Linked DNA regions of Daphnia pulex. The protein of the gene in region 2 interacts with the protein of the main gene of each other region in a biochemical or structural test. Links are inferred from orthologs where the notes say so. Each region holds a gene or a part of one and is shown on either strand. Other genes may lie near its edges.

Evidence for each region. The genes of interacting proteins can lie anywhere in the genome.
Region 1: the proteins of transmembrane emp24 domain-containing protein bai-like (region 2) and coatomer subunit zeta-1-like form a complex in vitro, tested with the Homo sapiens proteins (2 studies listed by BioGRID, with this or other methods). The link is inferred for Daphnia pulex from reciprocal best matches to the Homo sapiens genes TMED10 and COPZ1.

What each region holds. Positions count from the first base shown.
Region 1 is NC_060024.1:1,294,732-1,298,216, reverse strand, and holds coatomer subunit zeta-1-like, read left to right. Parts: upstream 1-1,529; 5' UTR 1,530-1,719; coding exon 1,720-1,911; intron 1,912-2,000; coding exon 2,001-2,246; intron 2,247-2,311; coding exon 2,312-2,445; intron 2,446-2,520; coding exon 2,521-2,611; intron 2,612-2,810; coding exon 2,811-2,858; 3' UTR 2,859-2,967; downstream 2,968-3,485. UniProt on the Homo sapiens protein: The coatomer is a cytosolic protein complex that binds to dilysine motifs and reversibly associates with Golgi non-clathrin-coated vesicles, which further mediate biosynthetic protein transport from the ER, via the Golgi up to the trans Golgi network.
Region 2 is NC_060020.1:5,852,778-5,855,796, forward strand, and holds transmembrane emp24 domain-containing protein bai-like, read right to left. Parts: upstream 1,636-3,019; 5' UTR 1,508-1,635; coding exon 1,331-1,507; intron 1,240-1,330; coding exon 1,119-1,239; intron 1,064-1,118; coding exon 993-1,063; intron 930-992; coding exon 803-929; intron 739-802; coding exon 617-738; 3' UTR 543-616; downstream 1-542. Other genes in the region: uncharacterized protein LOC124192751, read right to left, coding at 1,938-2,083, 2,149-2,659, 2,728-3,019. UniProt on the Homo sapiens protein: Cargo receptor involved in protein vesicular trafficking and quality control in the endoplasmic reticulum (ER) and Golgi.

The DNA of each region.
Region 1 (3,485 bases), on a different chromosome or scaffold from region 2:
TGACCGTACTGGGCAGGAAGTGCTTGCTCTTTGTGCTGTGATTCATCTCTGTTCGGCTTACTGAGATAGGCAGTATCAGATGTCGATTTTGCTTCTTCGTCGTTGCGCAGGCTCTTGTCCAATGCTATAAGGCGAGTAGTCAGTTTCTTGAGAGTTTTCTCTGCAACAGGCGTGCTGTCCCATGCAAAGGCAAAAACACGGAACTCTGGAGGAAGCGACATGAGTATCTTTGCCATTATTTGATTATCATCAATAGCTATGTTGAGGCTCTTCAGACGGAATGCTATCTGTTCCAACTCAGTCAGGAAGCTTGATACACTTTGGCTTGGTCGAAATGTGCATCCATAGAACTTTGTCCACAATAGAGGTGCATTGTCTGCGGCATCTTCTTCATACTCAGTCTCCAATTTCATCCACATCTCTTGGGCTGTGCTACAAGACATCAGGATCCTTGATTGGTCTTCTTTGATGGCGCCAAATATGTTCTGCATTGCCGTGGTATTTCTCTTGTTCCAGTTGGTTATATCAGCTGCATTTTCAATCACCTGGTCAGCATTGCGTCTCTGATTGTGGTAACAAAACGAGAAGATGGTTAGGTTTGTGATATCCATGGCAGCCTCACATTATCTCAATGTGGAATCTCCCTCACATCATCTCGATGTGGAATACCTCTCACATTATCTCAATGTGGAATCTCCCTCACATCATCTCGATGTGGAATACCTCTCACATTATCTCAATGTGGAATCTCCCTCACATCATCTCGATGTGGAAAAACACTCAGCTGTCTCCTAGATGCTTGCAACTCTAGCACACACTTGTCCACCATCATATGATGGAATTTAGCCAGAGTGACCAAACAGATTGAGAAAGAAACACAAAAAAAGAGAAATGTCCAGCAAACACAAACACACAAAAAACAAAATCAAGTGGCAGAGATTAAGCACTCACGCCGGGATCTAAGTTTGTCAATTTAATAGTTGGTACCACGCCACAGATAGGCATCTCATATCGCGTTGTTGTCAGGCACGGATCACACACATAAAGAAAACAATAAATCATCAATAAACTTACTTCAGCAGGTTGCCGTTGAGTCCCGTTCACGACTTCCCAAAGCTCAACACTTTGTAACGCCAGCTTCATTCCAAATTTCCAAGACGCGTAGTTTTTCCCATTCAGACACCATACAACATGGCGGCGGCCATCTTTCTCCATCACTCCAGAAAAGAATTTCTAATTTCTTGGGAACAGTTAGCCGGGGACACACACAAAAAAAATAATTGTTCAGACAGAGTAGCTGTTAGCTGTGCGTACAGCTGGGCCCATAACCTGTTGATATAGAAATTAACACGTGAACCTGTTTGCTGCAAAGAACGCTTTGTATTGCTACTCGCCTAGCCACAATCGTCAACAGCACTGAGTCCCCCTCTCTTATTCCTTTGTCTGGGTAGGTCCTTCTCCCCCTCTCTTCTTTCCTGGCTATCCTGCGTTGCCGCACTGTCCAGTTTGTTTATCTTTTATACTCAACAAGCAGTTCCTAGATGGCGCTAACGACTGGCCCTTTTGCTTTTTCCCGTATCTTTTAAAACAAAAATAGATTTATCTCGTTAATGGTTTGTGATCAGTATAGGAAATTTATAAAATTTATAAGTTAATTTTTTTAATGGTTAATATAATTTTCTTACCGACATAAGAATCGTACTCTAGTTGAAGTACTCCATGGCGATACTACGCGAAAGAAACTGCCAACGTAGCATACAGGACTACCGGTTGTCAAGTAAGAACAACTCATCAACATCTCGAACGGAACATTTTCATTCACCCGTCTGTACAACGGTTCATCTTATTTCTCTTAGCTCTTGTGTTGTGGTGTATTGCATATTGTATAAAGAAATGGATAACCATGTCCTGGTAATATAGCTACTTCTAGTACTACATTTTCTTTAATCAGCTGTGTCAGACCAACAACAAAATGATACATTTTTATAAAATTTCTTTAGGAACCTTCTCTGTATGTAATTAAAGGAATTGCAATCCTTGACAATGATGGTAAACGTATTCTTGCAAAGTACTATGACCCAAACACATTACCCACTGCAAAAGAACAGAAGGTTTTTGAAAAAAACCTATTCAACAAAACACACCGAGCTAACACGGAAATCATTATGCTAGAAAACATGACTTGTGTCTACAAAAGCAATGTGGATCTTTATTTTTATGTCATGGGAAGTAGCCATGAAAATGAGGTAAAAGATGCTCACAAGTTGTTCACAAAATATTAGTAAATTGGAATTTTTTTCCCCTTATTTAGTTGATCTTGGTTAGTGTTTTAAACTGCTTGTATGATTCCATCAGCCAAATACTTAGAAAGAATGTGGAAAAGCGTTCTCTAATGGAAAATCTTGATGTGGTTATGCTTGCTTTGGATGAAATATGTGATTCTGGGTATGGTTTCCATTCAAACATGTAATCATGACAAGTTTATCAAGATACTATTACCAGTTTACTATTGTGTTGCAGGATTATTCTGGAATCAGATCCCACTGCTATATCATACAGAGTAGCTCTTCGGAATGATGACATTCCAATTGGGGAGCAGACAGTGGCCCAGGTATGTTTGATAACTTAACTACTTAATCAGATATTTAAATAAGGTTTTTTTCAATTTAATTAAATTTAAAATTGAAATTAGTTTGAAATTTTCATTTTCCAGCAGCTACTTCTAAACTAAACAATATACATTTTAAAAATTACTATAATTAAGGGAGAAGATCAATAAATTCTTTAATTATTTCCGTCTGATTTTTTAGGTGCTTCAATCGGCAAAGGAGCAGCTAAAATGGTCTCTTCTGAAATAAGGATCTAAACTATTTCAACCACAATAAATTCCGGTCGTTGAATCATCCTTATCATTATTTTTCTCCTTTTCCAAGTTGTTCTATAAAAAAAATACAAATCTGTTCTGTTGATGCCATCTTTATCAAAATAGCAGATAAATAATTAAAATCAATCCACCGTATTAGAAATTAAATTTTTTGTAACTTGTAACACGCATTATATAACCTGATGGTGTGCTTGGTATTTTACAGCGATCTTTAAAAGATTGTTTTCATTCATCAAAGAATAGTTTGCCTTTTTCTGACATTTACTTCGGGTTTACAAACGAATGAAAGCACAAAAGAAATTTGTTTCTATCACAACAGAGATGTGAATTTCCAATATTTTTCAGGTTGCACTGTAATTTAGGTGAAATGTTCTTGGTTTTAATTCGGATAGAACGTTATTCTCTTACAGTACAGCTTAAGTACAGCATTACACCAACTAAAGTTTGCCAGTTCATTTCGAAGTTATTGATAACGTCAATCTTTCGTCGATTAAAAGGTAAAAAAAAAAAAAAAAAAAAAAACGTTTCACTCGTCGTGTCTTTATAACGATATTGAATTCCAGGCTTGGACAGAGCGCATCAGTTTTTCGCTCCGTTGATC
Region 2 (3,019 bases):
TAATACATATCTACAATACAAATTCAAAACGAAATGAGACTTTTTGCACAACATTTTCTTCGCGTCCTTACGCCTTTAAGATTGGATACAAGGAATGATTTCCTTCAGGAAAAAACACCTTGTTATACGTATGTGCGAACGGGGCAATTTAACTCTATTGGTAGTATATTTACATCTTGAATCGCAATTCTTCAAAAGAGAAAGGGCAAATCTTTTCATTTCTAAAAATCTTTACCTCTTAAGAAATCTTAGATAGTGCGCATTAATGCCAATTCTAATGTAATAAAATAAGACAAGACAATATTACTGGAGAATTTTGTTTTCCAAACAGAAGAAAAAAAAAAGAAAAAATACCAACCCAGATGTTTTACTTCATATCCAGCACACGTGCATTATGCATAATAACTCAAGTAGTAGACCGTCCAAAGACGGAAGAGTTAGAAATGATCAAAGATTGGCATTGATTAACACACAAACAAAAAACCAAAAAACTGGAGCAAGTATTCCATTTTAACACAACCACTGACATCAGGACGATTTCATTTGTTCGAACAGCGATGGACTTCCTGTTCGGTTTCGCTGGTATTTTTATTGTCAAATATTCACTGAAATAGCTTTATTCAATCAACTTTTTGGCTTTGAAAAAGCGACGCAGATATAACACCTGCCATGTAGCCAAGGCAATCAAACATAACATACTGAAAACACTGAAATACAATACTCTGGAATTGGTTGATTCTATGAATGAAATAAAAAAGGTGTTACTTATACACTTGTGGGAGATTCAAACAAAAAGTCTTACCATTTGTATCTCTCATCTCTTCCTCTCGTTGTCTCATGTAGGCAAAATCTTGAACAATGGCTTCTGACAAGTCTTCTAACCTTTTCAATTCAACTTCAAGTGGTTTTAATCTTGCAGCTTCCCCCAACTAAAAATACATTACAACCAATTCTATTAATTAGTTTTTCTTGCAATATTTCCAAAAACTTACTGTTTCATAGTTTTTAGCTTCAAGACCCATTTTGACAGTTACTTCAACCTCATGCTTCTGTCCTCTAAGATCTATAAGAAGAAATGTCATTTATGGCAAAAATATATTTAAAAGATGAATGCTTACTTGGCGGGACTTTTGACACAAAGCAAATTTCATAAACTTCATAGTCATCAGTTGTAAATGCAAATTTCCCTTTGCTTTTGTCCTCGTGGCTTACTAAGGTGTGACCTTTGATATCTGTTACCTGTTGTTTTTTTTTAGAACAAAAAAATAACATACAAATTAAAAATTAGTTTCTTTCCCATTTCTTGCTTTCTTTTTAAATTTTAACTTACTTTCACATCGGTTCTCTGGCCAGGAACCTCAGAAACTTCGTACTCCCCCGTGACAAGAACATCCTTTTGCACTTCTTCTCTTAAGCATTTTCTGCCATTTGGCTGTAGTTCAAACATAAGTCCTTGGACAGTTGAGAAGAGCAAAAAGGAAAACAAAATTATAGCCCGTAGATCCATCGCAAACACGAGAAAAACAATAAAACAGATCTATTTAACAGTAACCCCGATGCTACAGCAGAAGGAAAACAACACGGAAAGCTCGAAAGACACGTCAGCTCTGAAAATGACCGGTAAGACTTTTATGATGACTTGGCAACTTTGCTGACACCTGAAAAAAAATAAATTCACCGTTGCCAAATGTAAACATTTTACGCGCGCTTTTTTAAACAAGGCAATTTTATGTATTTTAGAGTGAGGCTGTCTGGGCGCACCAGAGATGGGCTGCACATACACATATTACATGATTAGAAATAACGAAACGAACGATTGATAAATTCTATTGTATTTCACTGAATAATTGGATAACAATCACATTAGAATACACAACTGCGTTTTATTTTAAAACGAATCGTCTAGTTGAGGAATCGCACGGACTACTTACTCAGTCTTATTCTTTCCAAGCCATATCCTTTACGTCCGTTATTAATTCCACTATTCTTTGGCTGAGAAGTGGATTTCCAATTACTGTATCAAATTCAAACAGACTTTGCCAACCGCTTTTGGTTCCTTCTTCATCCAACTCTTTTGCTTGATCTAAATCAATTAAAATTATTAATTACGTATTGATTAATGACTATAATTATAAGTACAAAACAAACCTTTTTCCAATTCCTTAATGAGATCTTTATGAAGATTTTCATCGTTTTTTAAGGTATGATCTATTGCTTTGGAGGAGTCGAGTAGGATGGGTAAAATGAAGAGGGCAATCATCATCATCAGAATATAGCGTTGCTTGGTTTCTTGAATGAATTGTTTCTGACTATAACCTTCACTTTCCAGGTCAATGTCTAGTTTGACTAGAGCACTGGAAAGGGCAGCATAATATTCGTCAAGCAGATTATCTAAATGTTGTTTTCGGAACGACGATGATGTACTGGAAAAAATGAAGTATCCAAGATCATGAGAGGGATGTCCGCAACGCGCAATTTGCCAGTCTATAAGCAACATTTCTTCCGGTTTTTCGCTAGTTTCGTCGAGATAACGAAAGAGAAGATTGTTATTCCATGAATCGCCGTGTAAAAGACAAGTCAAAGCGCCACTCTCTAAAAATGATTCCCAATTCCATATTTTATCCAGTTCAGGCAACAGTCCCTCAAGCCAATCCGCAACCTTAATTATAATTTTTATTAACACCAGAAACGAAACTTTGTGCATTTCTGTTACTTAATAAAACTTACCTCTTCCTGACGAAAATGGCGCAAGACCTTTATGTAGTTCGGCAATACTATAGTACGATAAACAGTTGCTGGACTTATGTAATTAGGATCCTTCCGGAAAATTTCATACGGCGAAGGAAAATTAGATGGCCCATCGCTTTTCACGAGTCTACGCATCTTTGCAATACTCAAGGCATGATAATTAGCGTACGTTCTCAATGCGCACTGAGCATGATTTAAATCAATTCCATTAGCTGATCTGGCGGAGGACGCCATTCGGAAGCCTTTGCTTTTCAGTTCTTCCATTACGAAG